2 linked regions of the Arabidopsis thaliana genome follow. The protein of the gene in region 1 interacts with the protein of each later gene in a pairwise test. Each region holds a gene or a part of one and is shown on either strand. Other genes may lie near its edges. The genes, in order: MYB3R-5 and AT3G57600.

The links.
Region 2: the proteins of MYB3R-5 (region 1) and AT3G57600 interact in a two-hybrid assay, tested with the Arabidopsis thaliana proteins (one large-scale study listed by BioGRID).

What each region holds. Positions count from the first base shown.
Region 1 is NC_003076.8:479,942-492,957, reverse strand, and holds MYB3R-5 (myb domain protein 3r-5), read left to right. Parts: upstream 1-6,484; 5' UTR 6,485-6,610; coding exon 6,611-6,652; intron 6,653-7,022; coding exon 7,023-7,174; intron 7,175-7,293; exon of another isoform or gene 7,294-7,305; coding exon of another isoform or gene 7,306-7,319; coding exon 7,320-7,371; intron 7,372-7,522; coding exon 7,523-7,580; intron 7,581-7,878; coding exon 7,879-7,973; intron 7,974-8,070; coding exon 8,071-8,174; intron 8,175-8,261; coding exon 8,262-8,390; intron 8,391-8,498; coding exon 8,499-9,513; 3' UTR 9,514-9,536; exon of another isoform or gene 9,537-9,618; 3' UTR 9,619-10,165; downstream 10,166-13,016. Other genes in the region: AT5G02340 (Cysteine/Histidine-rich C1 domain family protein), read left to right, coding at 1-703; AT5G02330 (Cysteine/Histidine-rich C1 domain family protein), read left to right, coding at 3,716-5,686; PRT6 (proteolysis 6), read right to left, coding at 10,406-10,477, 10,566-10,634, 10,740-10,817, 10,958-11,024, 11,123-11,227, 11,325-11,857, 11,938-12,119, 12,264-12,885 and 1 more. UniProt on the Arabidopsis thaliana protein: Transcription factor that binds 5'-AACGG-3' motifs in gene promoters. Transcription repressor that regulates organ growth.
Region 2 is NC_003074.8:21,323,879-21,334,448, reverse strand, and holds AT3G57600 (Integrase-type DNA-binding superfamily protein), read right to left. Parts: upstream 1,676-10,570; 5' UTR 1,609-1,675; coding exon 775-1,608; 3' UTR 531-774; downstream 1-530. Other genes in the region: AT3G57590 (F-box and associated interaction domains-containing protein), read left to right, coding at 3,053-4,267; AT3G57587 (Ta11-like non-LTR retrotransposon), read right to left, coding at 5,092-6,186. UniProt on the Arabidopsis thaliana protein: Transcriptional activator that binds specifically to the DNA sequence 5'-[AG]CCGAC-3'. Binding to the C-repeat/DRE element mediates high salinity-inducible transcription.

The sequences.
Region 1 (13,016 bases):
GTTGCATCCTCACCCGCTTACGCTTAAGGTCGTCAGTATTGGATACGATCATTACAGAAGAAGAGGGAATTACTTCGAATGTCGTGCTTGTAGGCGTCAAAGTTGTGGTTTTGTTTATGATAGTCTGGGTTTCTCACTTGATTTGCGCTGTGCCTCGGTTTTCGAACCATTTGAATATCAAGGCCACGAGAATCCCTTATTCCTAGCCTTAGAGCCAGATGAAGAAAAAGCGGTGATATGTCAAATCTGCCAAGAAGATGGTGATGGAAATAACTATATTAGAAAACTAAATTGCATGGAATGCAAGTACATTATATGTTTCAGGTGTGCTACCTTGCCATACAAGGCAAAGTACAAGCATGACAAACATTTCCTCACATTTCGGGAAGGGAAAGAGGGAAGTGATCAATTAGACTGGTGTGAGGTATGCGAAAAGAAGTTAGTATACTCAAGAAAAGGTGGGTTCTATGCGTGTGATGACTGCTGCGCCACTCTCCATGTTAATCGTTTGCTTGGGAGAGATGAGTATATGCTGAAACCTGGTCATACTGTAATGAATTATAGGTCAAACATTCATATTCTTCCCAACAATACCATGACTCGACCATTCTGCCATGGTCATAAAGAAGATCGTTGTCCACACAAAGTAGTTTTCAAATGGCATGACATGACATTTTGCTCTTACAGTTGTTCGATGCATTAGATGTCATCATCGCCAGTGCTTCGTCGTCTCTTATTCGCTATATTTCACTCCCCATTTGCTTGTCTACGTTTTGTAATATGTTTCTTCTATTAAAACGTATTGTAATACTTTTGGATTCTTAACTTCTTCTAGATCTCTACTTTTCTAGTTCCCCATTTGCTTCATCTTCTTGTTTGTCTGGTTGTTTACGTTTTTGTGTAATCTTTTCTTTTACTAAAACGCATTGTAATTTTCTATATCTTCTTACCCAAATACCTCGACTGATTGATTATATCTCGGCCTTTGGACTTTAAATTATGGGCCAATTCGGACGGCTCTCGCTTAAGAAACTACAGTTAACAAAAAAAAACCAGAATGAGTTATCTTAGTGATCCGACGGTCCATAATCATTGAGGACCTCTGATTTGCCGATGTGTACAATGGTCAACGCATCAGCTAAAGAGTGTCGTTTGAGGTTGAAACTTTTGTTTGCAACGTCAACCTTTCTTCTACTTTTAACGTCCGTTAAATCCCCCTGTGGGTTTCTTGTCACCATTTACGGTTATAGTTTGATTTCAGATAACCGGTTCTATCAAACCACGCATTAAACTCGCTGTTTTCGTTTTTATTCGAAAGAATATTATAATTAGCCCAGTCACATGAATAAATTTCGTAAAAAAACACATATTTTCTCAATTCATTTAACCGGTTTATTCCAAACCGACTCAAAAGAAGTATAAGAAAAACATTTGAGTCGGTTTGGAATAAACCGGCCGGTGCCAAATTAACGGCGGTTAGCAGTTACGTCGGCGGAAGAAGTATTCGTTACAATATTTGTTTTAATCCCAATTAGTCTCCTTCTCCTTTCTCTCTTCTCTCTCGTTCAACGGGCAAAGTTTTTTTCGAATATAAGTTTTGGTTTGTTTTTTAACGTTCCCTTCTTAATGAAGATAGAGATACAATTTATGGAGAATAAGCAACCATTAGCTGCTTCTTGCTCCTCTGCATCCGAAGGCAGTGGCTGTTTCTTCCTCAAGTCACCTGAAATCGCAACTCTTGCCACAGTATCTTCATTTCCTCGGTACTTTTACTATCTTTTACATTTCATCTTCTATCTGTGTGTTTATACAACTTATTATGAAATTGATTGATTGGAAAGATTGTCCTTTGATGACTTACACCGAACTCATTTTGGTTTTTGTTATGTTTTAAATTGGGTAACCCAACTCAACTCAACTTATAATCAAATGAGTTTATGGTTAAATGAGTTATGAGTTGACCCAACTCATTTTGTTAAATGGGTTGGGTAACCCCATAACTCATTTAATTTGATGGGTTGAGTTGTTAAATGAATTAACTCATTTAAGTAATAATTTAATTAATTATTATTATAAAATAATAATAAATAATTATCATTATTAATAATTATTAATTCATTATCATCAAACATAGGATATTTACGGATTCCACTTTTTACGGGTTTACGTATTCAACGAGAAAATTACGGGTTTACGTTTTTGGCGGGAAAATCACAAGTTTACGTTTTCGGCGGGAAAATCACGGGTTTACGTTTTTGGCGGGAAAATCACGGGTTTTCGTTTTTGGCGGGAAAATTACAACTTTACGTTTTCGACGGGAAAATCAAGTGTTTTCGTTTTTGACGGGAAAATCACGGGTTTACGTATTTTGGCGGGAAAATCACGGGTTTTCGTTTTTGGCGGAAAAATCACGGGTTTACGTTTTTGGCGGAAAAATCACGAGTTTATATTTTTTGTTGGGAAAATCTTGAGTTTTCGTTTTTGGCTGGAAAAATCACGGGTTTACGTTTTTTGCGGGAAAATCACGAGTTTACTTTTTCTCAATTTCATCGCTTGTATATTTAAGAAATTTGGAAAAATATTAATTTTGTTAAATTGGTTTAGATGTGTTGGTTAAACTTAAATTGGTATTTGTTTAGAGATTTTGGTTGGTTTGATTCAATTTTACAAAACTTGATGGTTTAATTGGGTAAACCATTGAAATCATTAACCATTACAATCCAACTCATTTTACTCATCAAACCAATTGACCCAATAACTCGTTTGACCCATCAACTCATTTGAGTCAAAATTTTCAACTTATTAAGATTCATAGGTTGAGTTGAGTTGAATTGATCCATGAATTTTGACCAATTTTAATACCCCTAGTTTTAATGTTGATCTTGCAGGAGGACTAGTGGACCTATGAGAAGATGATCTTGGAGGAGGACTCGTGGACCTATGAGACGAGCAAAAGGTAGTTGGACTCCAGAGGAGGTTAGTGGTTGCTTTTGTTTCGTTATTTTGAAATCAAATATACATAATGCATACACAATTTTACATTGATGAGTATTTTTATTTGAAGATTCAGGAGATAAAATAAAAGATAAAAAAATTGATAAAGAGTAATCAGAAAAAAATCACAAATAACATCCATATTAAAAAAGCACAAATAACGTGTGAGATAGTCAGAACCTCAGAGGATATACAAAAATTAATTGAGAAAACTAGAAGGGTCCAATTGCTAATTAATTGTCAAACAATAATTCATATTCTCATCGTTTCAGTGTTTCGAAACAATAATTGACTATTATTGACGATTATTCTATAGCAAAAAAATAGGAAATGGGGACGTGCTATGCACAGACTTTTAAAACTTCAGTTTAAAAAAGTACATTTTAGATGATGGAACAATTTTTACTTTTTTGTCAACCGAATTGTTAAAGTGATAACGATTAAAAATGTAAACCATTAAAATCAAGTGTTAATAAGTAATAACAAAGACTAGTCTCACTGAGATTCAAAAACAAAAAAATGAAAGACTTTTCTATAACAAAGAATATAAAAAGATTAACAAACGAAATAATAATTGAAAAAATATTAAACATATCGATCAAAATTAGCTGTGTATCTTACGTGTCTTTAATATTATTGTATATAAATGGAAGGGTGAGAAGGAGACGAGAAATATCACAACTACCCAAAATCATCTTTGTAGGCTAGCTAGCAAGCAGCCATGAATTCAAATTCAGTCGGTGTATTTCGTGAGAAGGAAATCGATGGGAAACCATTCCACACATACACTTTATCATCTCAAACAGACACCACAACCCCTTCTTCTTCCGGTGAAACAGCCATTGATGGCGACGACCATCTCTCTCTTCAACAACCTCTTTTCCTCTGTCCTTCTTTACGTCTTAAAGCTGACGAGATAAACTATTCTTATAGTGAAATTCTACCGTTCAATATTTCCCCGTACTTCCCCAGCATAAGAGGCGCTGATCAACAAGTCCAGCATTTGCTTGATTCCGACAGCCAACAAGTCCATGATTTGCTTCATTCCGACAACAGCCATGATGATGATGGTGATGAAATCTGTAAGCTCCCAGTTGTCCCTATCTATTGGTGTAACAGTAAAGAAATTGAGTTCGATCAATTCAATTGCGGTGCATGTGAACGATCAAAGATTGGCACAGACTATTATATCTGTCTCACGTGTGATCTAATGTTCCACAAAGAATGCGTGGAGTCTCCCCTTGAGATCAAACACCCTTCCTATCCCTTTCTTTCACTCAAACTTTACACTCGTCACGAGCAGCTCATGAGTTGCATGTGCTGTAAACACCCTTCCAATCTTATTTTTTATTATTGTCCCACCTACAAATTGAGTTTGCATCCCGATTGTGCGATGAAGCCAATATCCATTTTTATAGACCACCCAAAAAGGCATCCCCACCTTCTCACCTTTTTTCCCAAACAAGCTTCCTTACTTTGCGATGTTTGTAGCCTCATTAAAGAAGCTTTCCCCACCTATGTGTGTCTTCGATGTATCTTTGTAGCCCATCGAGATTGTATCTATTTCCCGTATGTCATTAAAATATGTCGTCACCAACACCGTATCTCTTTTACCTCTTCTCTTCCATCTGGAAAATGGTCTTGTGGAGTATGTCGTAAAAAGGTTGACAACAATTGTGGTGCATACACTTGCAACAAGTGTAGCCACTATTTTGTTCATACAAGATGTGCGTTACGGGAAGACTTGTGGGATGGAAAGGATCTCGAGGGAGTACCTGAAGAACCTGAAATAATTCTCGAGCCATTTGAGACGATAGCTGATGGAATAATACTCCATTTTTCTCATGGCCATCATCTGAAACTCAAGACCAGTGGAGTTTACAACGAAAACATTATTTGTCAAGCGTGCATCCTTCCAATCTATGAGGGTAATTATTACTCGTGTATGGATCAATGCAACTTCATCCTCCACGAAGCATGTGCAAATGCTTCTCGCAAGAAAGATCATGCCTTACACAGTCACCCACTTACGCTAAAAGTTGTCTCTGATATACAGAATGAATACTTTAAAGGTTACTTCAGGTGTTCCGCTTGTGATCGTGAAAGTTGTGGCTTCATCTATGAGGAGGATCAATACAGCATAGACATACGGTGTGCCTCTGTTTCTGAACCATTTGATTATCAAGGCCATGAGCATCCCTTATTCCAAGCTTTAGACCGAAAAGAAGAAAGGGAGGCAATTTGTCAAATTTGCCGAAAAAAGTATGGTCGAAAACTAAATTGCATCGAATGCAATTATATTATATGTTTCAGTTGTGCTACTTTACCATACAAGGCAAAGTATAAGCTTGACAAACATTTCCTCACATTTCGGGAAGGGGAAGAGGGAAGTGATCAGTTAGACTGGTGTGAGGTATGCGAAAAGAAATTAGAATACTCAAGAGAAGGTGGGTTCTATGCGTGTGATGACTGCTGCACCACTCTCCATGTTGATTGTTTGCTTGGAAAAGAGATGTATATGTTGAATCCTGGTCATACTGTAATGGCTTATAGGTCAAACATTTATATTCTTCCCAACAATACCATGACTCGACCATTCTGCCAACTTCATAAAGAAGATCGTTGTCCACACAAAGTAATTTTCAATTGGCATGACATGACATTTTGCTCTTACAGTTGTTCGATGGATTAGATGTCATCATCGCCGGTGCTTCGTCGTCCCTTATTCGCTATATTTCACTCCCCATTTGCTTGTCTACGTTTTGTAATATGTTTCTTCTATTAAAACGTATTGTAATACTTTTGGATTCTTAACTTCTTCTAGTTCCCCATTTGCTCAATCTTCTTGTTGTCTGGTTGTTTACGTTTTTGTGTAATCTTTTCTTTTACTAAAACGAATTGTAATTTTCTATATCTTCTTCTTACCCAAAAACCTCGACTGATTAATTATATCTCGGCCTTTGGGCTTTAAATTATGGGCCAATTCGGACTGTTCTCGCTTAAGAAACTACAGTAAAAAAAAAAACCAGAATGAGTTATCTTAATGATCCGACGGTCCATAATCATTGAGGACCTCTGATTTGCCGACGTGTACAATGGTCAACGCATCAGCTAAAGAGTGCCGTTTGAGGTTGAAACTTTTATTTCCAACGTCAACCTTTCTTCTACTTTTAACGTCCGTTAAGTCCCCCTGTGGTTTCTTGTCACCATTTTCGGTTATAGTTTGATTTTAGATAACCGGTTTTATCCAACCACGAATTAAACTCGTTGTTTTCGTTTTTATCCGAAAGAATATTATAATTAATTAATTAGCCCAGTCACATTAATAAGTTTCGTAAAAAAACATTCATTTTCTCAATTCAATTAACCGGCTTCTTCCAATTCTTTTGAGTCGGTTTGGAATAAACCGGCCGGTTCCAGGTTAACGGCAGTTAGCAGTTACGTCGGCGGAAGAAGTATTCGTTACAATATTTGTTTTAATCCCAATTAGTCTCCTTCTCCTTTCTCTCTTCTCTCTCGTTCAACGGGCAAAGTTTTTTTCGAATATAAGTTTTGGTTTGTTTTTTAACGTTCCCTTCTTCTTCTTCCTCGCGAATTCGCTTATCTGGCGATCACGATGAGCTCAAGTTCGAATCCACCGGTTTGTTCACCGGAAAAGGTCAGATTTTTCCCTGAAATCTGATTAGGGCTTTTCATTTTTTGTGATCAGATTGTTATCTTCGTCTACTTTGGTGTGAGTTCATGGGGTTTTAGGTCTGAATCGGAACACGTTTTAACAGGTCTTGGAAAAGGGTCTGAATTGGTTTCTAATGATTAGAATTGTATAAACCCTAAACATCCATCTTGTGCTTGAAAGAAATCGACTTGTTTTTTTGTGAGATCTGGCTTCTATTTTGCGGCCGTTGAGTTTTTAGGGTTTTGTGATTTTTGATTATTTGTTTGATAAAGATACGTTCTTGTTCATTTTGTGCTCAATCCCATGTTTTTAACGAAAATTCTGGATTTGGTGATTTATATGGGTTTTTTAGGAGGAAAGAAGTGAAATGAAAATTGAGATTCAATGTATGGAGAATAAGCAACCATTAGCTGCTTCTTGCTCTTCTGCATCCGAAGGTAGTGGCTGTTTCTTCCTCAAGTCACCTGAAATCGCAACTCCTGCCACAGTATCTTCATTTCCTCGGTACTTTTACTATCTTTTACATTTCATCTTCTATCTGTGTGTTTATACAACTTATTATGAAATTGATTGATTGGAAAGACTGTGCTTTGATGACTTACACCGAACTCATTTTGGGTTTCTGCAATGTTTTAATGTTGATCTGCAGGAGGACTAGTGGACCTATGAGACGAGCAAAAGGTGGTTGGACTCCAGAGGAGGTTAGTGGTTGCTTTTGTTTCATAATTTTGTTGGTGTGTGGAGCAACCTCATTCGACTATGTATCTTATATGTATAAGGATTAGTGTTTACTTGAATGAAAGACGAGACTAGCCTTATTGTGGTCTGTAATTGGTTTTTATCACTATTCAGGATGAGACACTTAGACGAGCAGTTGAAAAGTATAAGGGGAAGAGGTGGAAGAAAATAGGTAAATTTCTTTTCTTGAATGTAAAAGTAGTATTGCAATACATTAGAATGAGATTATAGGTCTTCTAATCACACTCTTGTCTTGATGTATACTTGAATGTATAATTTATACATTTTTAAAACTGAACTCGTATCTTAAATCTGCTGAGAATTTTGTGAATTTTTCTCATTCAGTAAACATGATCTCTGCTGTGCACTTTGCAAGAGAACCATGATTTCTTTTTTGTCTCTTAAATGTTAAAGTAGCTGGTTTCGGTCAATGTTCTGTTTGTTTGATTTTTTTGTATTTCATCTTACAGCGGAATTTTTCCCAGAGAGAACAGAAGTCCAATGCTTGCACAGGTGGCAGAAAGTTCTTAATCCAGAGCTTGTTAAAGGACCTTGGACTCAAGAGGTTCTCTTATCATTTTCATGTTCTGAAACTTTTTTTGGTTTTCATTTTACGTAAAAATTTGGTAGCTCTAAAATTCTCTTTCTTTCGTGAATTGTAGGAGGATGATAAAATCGTTGAACTTGTAAAAAAATATGGACCTGCCAAATGGTCTGTCATCGCCAAGTCCTTACCAGGTCGTATTGGGAAACAATGTCGAGAAAGGTAACAAAGATTAGAATATTGACTATCTGAAGAATAGAGCCTGTACCTCCGTTGAGTTTGGAAGCCTCAACGAGTTTACGATTACAGGTGGCACAACCATTTAAATCCTGGTATTAGAAAGGATGCTTGGACCGTAGAAGAAGAATCAGCTCTCATGAATTCTCATCGAATGTACGGAAACAAATGGGCGGAAATTGCTAAGGTTTTACCAGGAAGGTATACTTACTTGTAGTTGAAAAAGGCCTTGTGAAAAATAAAGTTAATGGACATTTTTGAACATCTCATACAGTTTTTGCTTCTGATGTCTACCTGTACTTTTTGCAGGACTGATAACGCCATAAAGAACCATTGGAATAGTTCACTGAAGAAAAAATTAGAGTTCTACTTAGCAACTGGTAACTTGCCACCGCCAGCAAGCAAATTCATCGTTCTGAAAGATATTGCTGATGGAGACAGAGATTCCAAGCAGTCTAGTGCAACTAAACCTTTCAAGGATTCTGATTCGCTTACCCAAACCTCTTCAGGAAATACAGATTCAAATGAAGTTGGAAGAGACCATTTTGACTCTTCTTCCGCTCTGCTTGAAGAAGTAGCTGCTTCACGAAGAATCGGTGTCAATGAGTATGCTTGCTCTCCTGTTGAGTACAAGCCTCAGTTGCCTAATCTGGAACCAATTTCAGAGGAAGTCAGAATCAACTCAAAAGCTTATTTTGAGAGATCAATCCAGAGGAAAGTAGAAAACGGGTTTGGAACTCCAAAGCATGGGAATTTATACTATAAGTCTCCACTTGACTATTACTTTCCATCAGAAGCGGATCTGCAACATATGTACGGATATGAATGTGGTTGCAGTCCCGGTGCTGCATCACCAGTCAGCTTAATGACTACACCCTGTAATAAAGACAGTGGTTTAACTGCAACGAGAAGTCCTGAATCTTTCTTGAGAGAAGCTGCTAGGACTTTTCCAAACACACCTTCTATTTTTAGGAAAAGGCGAAAGGTTGTTTTGGCAGCGAAAACAGATGCTGTTGTTGTTGTTAATGGTGTAGTTAAGGAAGTTGATCGAAAAGAAGAAAGTAAAGATATGAGAAAAAGTTTGTTGCTGGAGACAACTGATAATTGCAGTGATGATGAAGAACTCGGGTTAAATGGAAATGCTTTCAATTTGTCTCCACCATATCGGTTAAGAGCTAAAAGAACAGCTGTAATCAAATCAAGACAGCTTGAGTTTACATCTGAAAAGGAGAAGCAGCCAGATAATGAGATTGAGTTTACATCTGCAAAAGAGAAGCAGCCTGATAATGAAATTAAAACGTCTGAGGAAGACAAGCCTGTGTAGAACCCTTCTTCCCTTAGAAAACTGTGAGTGAAAATTTCAAATCTTTTATTTAATGTCACTAATCTGAGTAACAAATCTAAAATAATTCCATCCTTGTTGACACAGAGATCGTGTGAAGAAACCAGTATGGTTCCAGAAGAATTGAAGCTTTGCTGGGAAGAGAACCGTGAAGAAAAACAATTCTCATTCTCTTCCTCACAGCCTTGAGCTATGAATCTACGGCTTTGGTCTAACACCCGAACTAAAATGAAATAGGTAGGTAGGTACACTCACAAGTAGTTTAATTTCATCGTTCACATACATGGTGTCCTGTTTACGTTTAAAATGATAATTGTGCAGAAACTAGTTTTAAAGGATTAGAATTTTGGTTAATTCTTTTTTATTTTTAGGGCTTTTGAGTATATGATGTTACATAGTTGACGAAGACACTGAAAATTCTTCCATTTTCGGACATCGAAGTGATATCAGAACACAACACATTCGTTTTGATACTATCCTTTCTCTGGATCAATCTGTACATATATCAAAAATTTTACAAATAAACCTTCTCAAAATCAACACTTTTTTTTTAATCATTGGGATGTTTATCGACCATTTTCAGGTAGTAAGCCTGAATAAAATAAAAGAAACAATGCAAATCTGCGCACAGAGACTAACCAATGATAGTATTGTTAAAAATAAACATTATGCAACTGCCAAGAAATAATACTCTATTTACAAACATGATCGCATATATCCACAAATAAAGAAATCAACCAAAGTGACAGAAATCAAATAAAAAAAAATCATCAGAAAAGCTCTCAAATCTTTAGAATCTTAACTGATGATTTCAAAGCAACATATGAATACCATCTCATAGAGATCAATGTCTGAGAAATAGCACGCAGATCGTTTAATGTAAGACGGCTCCAATTGTGGTTTGGCCGAGAACTTTTGAACTGCGATCAAGTCCATGAGAACCAACCTGAAAAGGATTTCACCAAGCAAAACAATTATATATTTTACCATACAAACAAAAGTTTCTTCTTTTGATTGTTGAGACAAACATTTACCAAGTAAGTTAAAGCAGCATAACGTTCTTCATTCAGGTATAGTCGTTTTCCTCTGATCATATCGATATCCTGAAACAATATTCAATGACCAACAGCATGGAAACATCCGAATCAACAAGATCGTACCCATCAAAGTTAAAAGGAAAAGAAAGAAAAAAATCTTTCTAGGTTTACCTCTTCTCCAAACGTATCCAGGTAAGGAGATGGCCAAGGTGATTGTCTTGCAAACCTTTGTAGCAAAATTGTGGTCCGCTATCGAAAAATGTAGAGCAGTAATCAATTAGAAAGCCCACAAATGATGCAAACTCCATACATACACGAGCAATATATAAAGTAAAGGAGAGTTATATCCACAAGAGAGAGAGAGAGAGAGAGAAGACGAGAGGTGATACCCGTATCAGAAGAAATACACCAGTACCAGCACCACAGGTAATTGCATGATTAGGACAACCACTTTCTCTGTAAAAGTATGTTAGAACGTCATTGTTTGGTTTTCTAGAACAATAACAGTGTCAACCAAAACGATGTTTGGAGACTAGTGGAAGTAAAGGCAATACCTGCAACAAGGGCTCCATATGGGAGAACACAAACTTCCACACAGAAGACATAATACAGGTTCTTCGATAACTTTGGTGCAGTTGACGCAACGTTTTTTTATACACCTATAAAAGAAAAGAAAACAAGGCTTTTTGATTAGAGAAAAAGTCTTCGAATGGGAAACAACTTGTGCAAAAACCAGAGAGAGACGTTGCTGCAAACCTTTGTAGTAGGTCCTGGTATAGATTGGGTAATTTCATTAGCTGGAAAGGAACTACAGGGGTGATGCAAAGGGACCTTTTAACTCTGTTGACTCTATATTCCCGCTGAAAATGCTGGAGCCATATTTGGGTTGAAGAACGGAGAAGTTCATCATTAAGAATGATATCTATAGGTGGAATGTTAAACATTTTCTCCAATTCTTGCACATGATTCAGCTCAGACTGGGGACTGTATATGAAATCCATATTGTCGGTGGTGGGGTCAGATGGCAAATCAAACATATCTGACTCTTCATGAAGCTTCCTAGGAGTAGATTTCAGTAGCTTCCACAACAACGCACATCTCCTCAAGAAAGGAAGACTATATTTACGGATTGTGTCTTTTATATCACATGACAAATCCATATTGTTCGACCTGAAATACTCCCAACCACCTGATTCTCTCAAAGCGTTGGAGATGTCATTAAGCAGGTTTTCCCCAAAATTTAATTCACTCAATTCACTTGGGCGACATGCACAATAAGCAATTACAGTCTGCACCAAAGACAATGAGATTAGGAGACGTACGTCTAAAGAGGTAAATTTGTATATACTTAGAGAACAATGTGGCATACCTGAACAAGCGAGACACTGTGGAAAATATGCACAAGTGACAATAGAGATTCCTCGCACGTGAGAAAAGGAAAAGGAAGACAAAAGAGAGCCCACATCAGTGATGAAAATGGGTCATGGGCAAGAACTGGATCGGATGCTCGATTCCAGAGCAGGTCTATATTCTTCAATGAACCTGTTGTGCCTGAAAAGATGGCAAATATTCTCAGATGTTATCGAGAAACAACTACAGTCAGCAACTATTTCATTAATATTTGCAATTACGGAGGCCATGTAGACAGACATTTCCATGTCCTTTATTTCCTCTTGAGTGTTGGAGAAAAAGTACCTTCACTTCCAAATATGCTGCTCGAAGAACTACTTGAAACTCCATAGCATATAGACTCTGCAAGATGCTTCATACCCACAAATCTCTGACGAACATGAATAGTATTCTTTGTTCTGGAGCTCTGTACCACTCGTAATAAAACTGACAAAATAGTCCCCTTAGAGGTTTTCAACTCTTCATACAAGGAGTCAATACAATAGACAGGCAGCATTGAATTCTTGGCAAAACGAGTACCAATTTCCATTGAAATGAGAGAGTACTTAAGGGTGTCCCACATGACGATTGATTGTGGTGGTAGCCACAGACGTTTTAGAGTTTTATCCTCTGGCTTGGGAAAATAGAAATCCCAGAGCATTTTAGAGACAGATTTAAGATCTTTCCTTCTTGGTCCATCTCCCTGTGGAGTAACTGTTTTACCTCTATCACCATCTTCGATCACTTCAGCAGCAGATCGTAGTAGACACAACGCTTCAGAGAGCCAAAGAGAAGGCTGCAGTGCATCTTTTCTACGTAACTTAGTACGTGGACTATCTTGTAGCTTTGAGACAGAACATAAATCTCCAGGACATTCAGGCAATACAGAATTGGCTAGTCGGCGGCATACAGGACACAGGAATTCTTTCTGACAGAAGAAACAATGTTTAAGCTTCAGAAGGAGTACGTTAAAGCACCAGAAAAATATCTCTAAATTGGTCACACAAATACCTTTTTTAGATCCACAATATGTGCACCTTCAAAGACAGTTCTTCTGCC
Region 2 (10,570 bases), on another chromosome or scaffold:
TATTACTCTCTTTGGAATGACTAGTGTATCTGTTGCATTGTTTCTAATATTGGAATGAAGAGGAATTCTGTGCTTAAGCAGTGAGGTTGCTATATTCATAATGTTTAAGCTTTCGTGTTTGATCTTACTCTATTCGTTCCATTGATAAGAGATCCTTTTATGTCTTAAACCTGAGAAAGTCGTGAAGGTTCATTGTAGCTGCTGTTTATGCTTGTTGAATATCTGTGGATGTTATCTATACTTAGCAAATTTCTTCAGATTTTGATCAGTGCTGGCAGGTGAAACTTTCTGGTGGGAGTTTATGCATCGTGTGATATGTCTCTAGGTTATTCAGTTTTGTTGTTTTCTTTTCTCGACAGAAAGTTTGCGTTGGTCAGTTCGAAGGCGAATCTTAAAAATTTGTTCATACCATCATGATCTTTATTTATTGATCATGAGTTTCTAGTATTATTGAGATATTAGATGTGATCTCCATGAAAGGGGATATGATAGGTAAGCTTTTTTGCATTGTTACTTGCACAAAACATATCATTCTATTAGGGCCGTGACTTTCACTTACTATTTAAACTATCGAGCTAAAGGATAGCGAAAAAATGAACATGCTTCATTAATATACCAAAAAAAGCGAACAACTCGGTTGTACACTGACTCACTTTATTGCTGCATAATAAAAGACTGCACTCTCACTACCTATGTCTCTTTTCCAAAACGCTACACTAAATCCAAAACCATTTGTGTACTTCTGAATCTTGATCTACCTTAAATTGCTTTTACTCAATCTAAGCTTCCGTAGTAGTCCCAGATGGAAGGGAAGGATACATCATCCTCAAAATCATAGCTTCCGAAGTTGCTGGAGTCAAATTGCATAGTTGTGGTTTCACTTCTTGGCATCTCGATCAGGGTATCCCAGCTGAAATTCTCAGTTCTGAAAGGACTTCCAGTTTCTTCTTGCTCGTTCCATGGTGGAGGGGAATGACACTCTGCTACCTCACTTGGTTCTGCTTCATTTTCATCCTTCAAGATTCCTAGTTGCTGAAGAAACTCGGTCAGGTCGATCTCTGGTTTCTTCTGATCACCACCTTCGAACATATTGTCTGTTTCTCCCTTGCTGGTCTTCTCATCAAGAAAGCTAGTATTAGTTTTTGATTCGGTGGAGGAAGAACTAGAAGAATAGGATTGAGATAAAAGTCCAGTTTTCTTGAGTTCTTCTAGTCTTTGCTGGATTATGTGAACACTAGGCTGAGCATTCACGTTTAGCATACCACATGAAGGAAACATAGATATAAACTTCCTTGAAGGTACCCATTTGAACCTCTGAGAGTTACTCAGAGAAGGTCTTGTATTCCGCTGAAGATGAGGTAAGTTGAGGTATGCGTCGTGCCCATAGAGTTTCAAGGCAGCCTCATCATAAGCCATAGCTGCTTCTTCAGCTGTAGCGAAAGAGCCAAGCCAAAGTCTTGCCCTCTTCTTGGGCTCTCTGATCTCAGCCACCCATTTGCCCCAAGTCCTTTGCCTGACTCCACGGTACTGACAAAGAGCGTTTTGTGGACCGCCTTTACCCCGAGCAGGACCCTTCTTCCATTGTTTCATTGAGGATGATTTCTCCATTTGTGTTGTAGTGGAGAAGAAGATTGATAGTGAAGAAGGAAGAAGAGGATATGATAATGGAGCTTAGAAAGAGTATGTGAGTGCTTAAATAATGTCACGGTTCGCTTCAATTCCTAGAGAATTGCTTTTTTCACCCGCGCATGTGACCGTTGCTTTTCTCATATTCTGTTATTTTCAAAAGAAAAAAAAAAAAAAAAACTTTTAACCATTTTTGATCTCAACTTCATATTTATATAATTCTTCTACCTAGGCTCAAACTAGAATAATATAATCCCTAGTTCTTGGTGTCCCCTGCATTCCAAACAGTCGCAATGCCAACCTTATTAGTTATTACACCTTTTTGATGATAGCTTAAGAAGTTAGAACAATTGCACACACACATTTTTTTTTTTTTTGGATTATTATGTTCAAAAATTTCTGTTAATCATCAGGAACTCAAATGTTTTTTTTTTTGTTTTTCTTTGTTATGACTAGCTCTAATATTTTACTTGTACATGTTACCAAGATATCTAGCGAGACAAGGTTTTTTGGGTTCCTAGAATTATTTTTCTTGAGGACACTTTAAAGCTTTAAAGCTTTTACGATATCTCATCTTTATCTTTTTGTTGTTTCCTTCTTTCGTCGGAGAATCGGAGAGCCATGCATGAGAAAAAGAGAGGCAAGAGTCACGAGTCGTCGCAGCACACAAGAATCACATGTTCGATCGTGAGAGTGAAGTGACGTGTTTTCTTCATTCTCGAGATTTTCAGATTTAAGCGCCGCTCCCTTCACCATTATCCCATGCTTCTTCCTTCCTCTCTTACCATCACATTTAACTCACCACATTGTTCCCTAATCCCATTTATTTTAATAGTATATGACTTGTACATAATTCTACACAAATCCCAAAAAATAAAGAAAAAGTAATAACTGAACCCATTTTCTTCTGTTTCACTAAAGCAAAAACACAAACTGATTATATTTCTATTTCGTTTTTATTGATTGTTTAATCCAAAAAAAGGAGTGCTAAGCCTAATAAATTTATCTCTGTATTGACACATTTGTCACCAGATACTAAGCTTTTGCTTTAGCCATTAAACAATTGTTCTTCATCCTAAATCAAAAAGCAAGCTCTACCTCTACTGTCTTTTTTTTTTGTTGCTAATAGTAGCTAGAGATTCCATAACCAGTTACCAAAACATATTTGGTCTTTACATTTTACATGATATTTAGAATCCCTGTGAAAACTAATCCTTCATTCGCTACCACATATCTAACATACCGATTGGCACGTGAGAGAACAAACCAAAAGTCCCAATTATCGCAATGAATAAATGGGCTTAGCTCATTCACAACTATGCTAAAGCCCAAAGGCCCATACAATCCCAATCTTGTTGCGTCGTATTAAACCTTCTCCTTCTCCGACGAAACAATCACACACTCCGGCGGCAATAAACGCTTCTTCATGGAACCAATCCCAAATGATCTCATTCTCGAGATCTTCTCGAGATTGCCGGCGAAGTCAGTCATTGGATTTCGTACCTTGTCGAAGCACTGGGCGTCTATGCTTCGCAGTCCAGTTTTCACCGAGCTCTTCCTGACCAGATCCTCGAATCGTCCACGTCTGCTGTTTGCTGCCGAACGAAATGGTGAGTGGCTCTTCTTCTCGTCGCCGCAGCCACAGAATCGATATGAGAAGTCTTCTCATTTGGATTATCATACAAAATTCTCAGGAGACGTAAGCCGATTCATTTGTAGCTATGTCTCAGGTTTGCTCTGTTTCCCTGATTTGTGGCTCTCAAAAGATGCATCGCCTGTGATTTGTAACCCTACCACAGGAATGTATGAGAGCTTACCTGATCTGATGAGGTACAAAAATGCTCGAGGCTTTCTAGGGTTTGATCCCATTGGTAAGCAATTCAAGGTATTGTCTGAGGCTTATCCATTTTCTGATCAAAGGGAACATCATGAGATTCTGACATTAGGAACTGAGGAACTGAGCTGGAGGAGTAATATCATTAGTTGTCCTGCATATGATCGTTCTTTGAGTGAAGGAATATGTATCAATGGAGTTTTGTATTACTTAGCTCAGACTCTTGGTGTACCGTCTTGTGTGATCATTTGCTTTGATGTAAGGTCTGAGGAATTTAAGTATTTTGACGCAGGATGCTTTAATGATCAACTTGATGATACTAGTGGGTTGATTTTGGTAAACTATGAGGGTAAATTAAGTGGGATTAATTGGAAGTATGGTCAAGCTGGTGAAAGGCGCACCGTTGAGTTGCGTATGTGGGTTCTAGAGGATGCCGAGAAGCATGAATGGGTTAAATATGTGTACACTCTGCCGGAGAATGAAGTCCTTGATTCCTGCGACTTTTCAGTTGCTGGAGTGACTACTAGAGGTGATATTGTTTTGTGTATGAAATATACATGTAAACCGTTTTATGTGTTCTACTTCAATCCCGAGAGGAACACTCTCCAGAGCGTTGAAATCCAAGATTTTGGAGCTAACCTTGAAGCGGTTGAGAATTGTGGTAGAGTTTATGCTTTTGTTAACCATGTAGAGGATCTTCGGGTTAACAAAGGGAAGCAACTCAAGTCAAGCATCTCTCAAGTCAAGCATCTCTGCTCATGCTGTAACAAAGTATCGCAGCCTGATTATCATTACCAAAAGGCTTAAACCAAAGGGAGAGAAGAAATGAAAGAGACAGTAGGGAAGAAAAGAGACAAGGGATGAGGTAAAAAGCAGTAGGGCATGTCATATATGTGTTTATGTTCTTTAGTTATAGACGTTGGAAGATCTGTGAGTATGAATCAAATCTAGCTTTGGTAGTGTATTACAAATATTTTGAAGTGAATCGTATTGTAGCATTGTTGACCTTTTTTTGGTTAATCAATTTTTCCTATAGTTTAATGATATCTTCTACCCGAAATTAAAGTGCAATTTCTACTGTCTATTAAATTTCTGTACTCTGGTATCATTATTTTGTATTTTAAAAAGTAGCTGGAGATTCTATACCCAAACTTATTTGGTCTTTGCATTTCACATAATTTTATAGAATCTCTACGAAAAGTTAGGCCAATACCATCGTTTGCTTGCTAGCACACATACGGACTTCATTGGCACATGAGAGAACAAACCATAAATTACGACAATGAATAAATGAGCTCATTCACAATTACGCTAAAGCCCAAAGGCCCATCAAATTCACTGTCTATTTCTTTCGTTTTTTTTTTTTTTTTTCCCTAAAAGTTATCTTTCATTCATTCATGTCATTGTGTTCTTACAAAAAGTGTTTGAGTGGTCTAACCACTTACAAACCTTTGATTCAAACATAACAAGATGATCTTAGAAGTAAAACGAGAAACATGAAATAATAAACCTGAAACTTAACAAAGTTAAGGATATGTCAGAACCAAAAAAACATATCCAACTACTTGAAGCTGCTATCCTAGATTCCCTGTAGTCTTCAACAAAAATTGACAGAAGTCTTGTTAGAGTGGTTATCTCTTTTTGGGAGGTTTCAGACTCTCTCCCATTCTTGAAGCACTGTGTAGACGAGTTTGAAGTCTAGGATCCTCTGCTTCTCTTCTTACTTCCTGTCTTCTTGAGGATTGACCGACTTCAAAGACTCTGTTGTTATCATGATTAGGAGTGTCTGCTCTTGTTGGAGTGGTACTAGAACTCGATGACCATTGTTGTCTTGCAGTACTAGATTCTCCAACATGTAATGTATGAGTATCTCTAACTGATGCATAGTATGGATACGCAGCTCTCAATTCTTCAGGATTCAGTGGTGGATGAGCAATTCTAGGAGGCGGTGTCACAGGAGCAGGAAATGAAGTCTCCGTCATCTGCGATTGAGAGTTCAAGCTTGACCTATGAACACTGTCTCTGAAGACAGCTCTTTCTCTGGCTATGCTGTGGGGACGTGGTCTATAGGGACAATAAGCTCTGTTGTGCGTAAACCTGAAGCAACTGCTACAGATTCTTCTGAGGCGCTCATATTGAAATCTGATGGTAACCACTTCTCCCGAATCAAAGATGATTCGTTGGAAGAATCTGAGCCTGTCTGTGATGCCAAAACGCACTCTAACTCGGATATAAGTAATTTGAGTAGATGTTGCGTCATGATGATCCAGCATGATGACTTCTCCTAAGTCACGTGCTATCTCTAGAGCCGTCTCTTCACACACATAGGGCAGGGGAATTCCTCTAATCTGCACCCAAAGATCAATAGAAGTAACAAAGTTAAGAGCAGGAGCAGGTTCCCATCTTTGAGTAGCCACGAACCAGTTGTTGAAAATCCATGGTTCTCTTCTTTGTACTGACTGCAAGTCAACTTCATTTTGGAAGAGAAATTGAACATAAGTTGCATCCAGAATTCTTCCATGGACATGCACCGTCATTCCCCAGTACCGAGGTAAGGCTGCAATCACCGCGTTCAAGTTTTGGACTCTTGGGTTGAGAGGTCTTGCAATTATACTCAGTCGATTGAACTCTTCAACATACACATAAGCTTCATGGGGAATGAAGAGGGCTGGATCCTCAGGACCTAGATCCAGGCCTTGAATTTCATCCCACAATTCATCTGCCATGGAGGTAAGATTGAAAAGAGAAAAGGAACAAGAAAGACTGAGACCTAATGACGTAAAGGAGTAAACACTTATAATATATAGACTCTAACCTTAATGAAAAAATTAGGAAAAAAGAAATTATTAAAAAACTAGACTCGAAGAACCTAAGTGGAAATCCTAAACTTACTAAACCTTTGACTGAAGAAAACAATCATTAGAAAAGGACAAAAACTAATCCACCTCCACACCTAACATTCTATTTGATTAACAACTCAGCAATTAATCTGAGCATCTAATTCCCAAAGATGACACCTCCGACTGATTTGATAATCTGAGTTAAACCACCTGTAACCAAATCAAGCCTCCAATGAACACTGTCACAATCTCCCTAGCTGAGTCATTTCGGAAGCAAAGAGATTTCCTAGCCAATGGGGAAAACCCCGAGAGACATAAGATTGCCATCTGTGCCCAGTAATAACACTCTTAGCAATCTCAAAAGCTCCTTTATTACAGTGTTTTGGTTCCAAAGCCATGAACCAACCACTTTTCTTTTGTGATAACTTCAAGAGTTGACTTGTATGGCCTAATAATGATGGCCATTCTTCTGGTTTGTAGAGAGCTTTAATAATGTCATGTGTTGAGGCTCTGAAAGTGACTCTGTCAAAATGATGTTGTGCCATGCTTGTAAGAGCCCATTCCCAACTTCTAATCTTTGCATCCAACATAGAATGAACATGAGAATAAGATCTCCTACTATGAAGTAACACCTTTCCCAGAGCATCTCTCACAACCCAAGATGCACCAGAAGCTTGTAAACGATTAGACCAGGCCACACCAATATTGCATTTAATCTCATTCTGAGGAGGAGGACTCCAATTCAACTTTGACTTTGATTCCTTGATACAGACATCTTGTTGGGCTGAACACCATTGATTACAATCCACATAAGCTTTGTCTACAATGCTTTGAGTCACAGAAGTAACTCCCTCAAACAGAATTTTATTCCTATGTTTCCATAAGACCCAGATTATCCAAGGACTAACATAACTCACATTACTAGAACTACTCAGTTTCTGACAATAGTTCAAAACATGGTCCATATTAGTAAAGATTGAAGATCCAAAACCTTTTTCAGGGGATTGCATAAGGGACAGCGCCCAGACTTGTCTTGCCAATGGACATTGGAATAAAATGTGGTTAATTGTTTCATTCTCCTCATTACACATTAAGCATCCATCCATTGCCTTGATACCACGAGTTCTTAGTCTGTCTTCCACTGCTACAGCTCCTTTTAAGACTTTCCATAAGAAGACCTTAATTTTAGGCGCCGTATGAAGACTCCAAATACTGCAAAAAAGAGGGTTTACTGAAGGGTTCACTGCAGCCTCTTGATAAATCTTTTGATGAGCTTGTCGACTAATCAGATCATACCCTGATTTAACCGTGTAAATGCCATTATTATTGCCAGACCAACAATAAGAATCATTTCGATTTACCATCGGTCTTTGATTAAGCATTATCAGAATATCCGTCCAAGGAAATAACTGACTCATAAGATTCAGATTCCAGTTTCCAGAAATGGGGTCAATGAGTTGATTCACTTTCATGCTAATATCCATCAAAGAATGAATACTCGAAGGTCTTCTATTCAGACCATCAAAAAGCCACTTATCAACCCAAACAATGGTTTGTTGCCCATTGCCAATAATCTTTTTTAAACCCTTCTGCAATAAGTCACGACCATACAAAATACTCTGCCAAGCATACAAAGGACGTGTTCCTTTAGAGGCATTAAGGAAATCAGTATTGAGGAAATACCTGCTTTTAAAGATCTTGGACAAAAGACTATCTTCATTCTTAAAGATTCTCCATGCTTGTTTGGCTAATAAAGCTTGATTAAAGCACTGAAGGTCTTTAAAACCAAAACCTCCTAGAGATTTAGGCAAAATTAATTTTTGAGCCCCAATCCAGTGAATCTTTTTCGTATTCTGCATTGAATTCCACCAAAAGTCAATCATAGCACCAGTTAACCTTGAGCATAGAGATTTAGGTAGCCTAAAACAAGTCATTGCATACACAGGGAGAGCCATCGCAATAGACTTCAATAGAATCTCTTTACCCCCCTGGGATAAAGTTTTAGCGTACCAACCTATGAGTCTGGCCTGTAATTTTTCCTTTAAGAACTCAAATAAATCCTTTTTCGAACCTCTTAAGCATTCCGGTAGTCCCAGATACTTTCCATACCCACCTTCCAATTGGATTCCTGATCTATTCTTAATCCAATCTTTTGTGTCCTCGTCAATTTTGGCTCCAAAGGTGACAGCAGACTTTTCCAAGTTAATCACTTGTCCTGAGATATGTCCATACTCTGATAAACAATGCATAAGCTCTTCACATTCATTCTTTGTAGCTTTACAAATTATCAAAGTATCGTCAGCAAACAATAAATGATTGATTGAAGTCCCCGCCTCATTAAACCTTATTCCTGTTACTCTCCCATCTCTTTCTGCTTGATTTAGAATATGCACCAAAGCTTCCGTGCACAAAACAAAAAGAAAAGGGGATAAAGGATCCCCTTGTCTTATACCTCTTTCAGGAAACAATTTACCAAAGGCTTGACCATTTATCAGAACAGAATAAGAGACTGAAGTCACACAACTCATAATCCAAGAAATCCATTTGATATTAAAGCCCATAGCTGTTAAAATTCCTTGTAAAAAAGGCCATTCAACCCTATCATAGGCCTTGGACATGTCTGTTTTGAAAGCCAAAAACTCTTTGGAAATCTTATCATTAGTTCTCAAATTATGAATTATCTCATGAGCAATGAGAATGTTATCAGAAGCTAACCTCTCAGCAACAAATGCAGATTGGGTTGGGGAGACTAACTCTGGAAGATGTTTCTTCAGACGAGCAGATAGAATCTTTGACACGATCTTGTATAATACCGAACACAAGCTGATCGGTCTAATATCTGCCATTCTTCTTGGGGGTGAAATTTTTGGAATCAAACATAGATGTGTGTGATTCCATTGATCTGGCATGATTCCCGTTTGAAAGAAGCCCAAGATGTCCTCCATTATCTGCTTCTTAACTAAAGACCAATGAGACTGAAAGAATAGAGCAGTGAAACCATCAGGACCTGGTGCACTCTCTGCATTTATAGAGAATACCGCATTGTAAATCTCCTCCTCTGATACATCTTTAGTCAAGTCAATATTCATTTCAGAAGTGACTCTTGCTTGGAATCCATGTAAGATTGATTGCATATTAGCAGGATAGGACGAAGTAAAGAGATCTTTGAAAAAGCTTAAAGCAATGTTGCCTTTCTCTTTAGCTACAGTATGTTCATTCCCTTCTTCATCAACTAAAAAGCTTAGTGAGTTCTTAACTCTATTAGCCTTGACAGAAGCTTGGAAAAATTTAGAATTCTTATCACCTCCATCTAACCATTTGTCTCTACTCTTTAACCTCCAGAAAGATTCCTCTTCATAAAAGGCAGCACTTAAAAGATCTTGTAACACTGAGACTTTAGGCCAAGAAGGAAACTGAAAACTTTTTTCCTCATCCAGCTCTTTCCTCAGACATTTTATTCTGTTCTGAGCATTGAAATTATTCCCCTTTTTCCATTTACCAATGGCTTTCCTGCACTCCACTAATCCCATCATTGATGACGACACTTCTGAAGAAACAATCTCATTCCAAGAAGAACGAATAGCTTCTGCACAATTAGGATCATCTGCAAATCTTTTATCAAAATGAAATTGACCACGAAAGACTTCCTGATCATTCACAAACTTTACAAGAACAGGCCTATGATCTGAACCCATTTTTTCAAGAAACCATTGATGTGATTTTGGAAACATAGAAAACCAAGCCGAATTTCCAAAGCATCTATCTAATTTGCAGTGAATCCATTGATCATTACGAGTTCCTCCCCAAGTGTAACTATTCCCTGAACTTCCTAATTCATGCATGTCACACCAGCTAAGCATATCTTTGAATGGTTGAAAAGAAGAAGACAGTCTAGAAGGGCCTCCTAACTTATCTTGATTAGATGTGATATCATTAAAATCACCTATCATACACCAAGTTGATTTCCTGAATTCACCAATAGAGCATAACTTGTCCAAAAGCAAATATCTGAGACTTGCCATTGGATTCCCATACACACAAGAAACAAACCAACTTTGAGAACCTTGAATCACTTTCAAATCCAAAAGATTCTTGTCTTCATACAAAAACTCAATTTCTAGGTTATTTTTCCAAAAAAGAGCGAGACCTCCACTTTTGCCTTCTGGTTCTATTGTGTGAAAATAATCATATCCAAGCCAAGTAAAGATTTTCATAACAAAAGGATCACAATTCATGGTCTCCATGAGGAACAAAATATCAGGAAAATGAT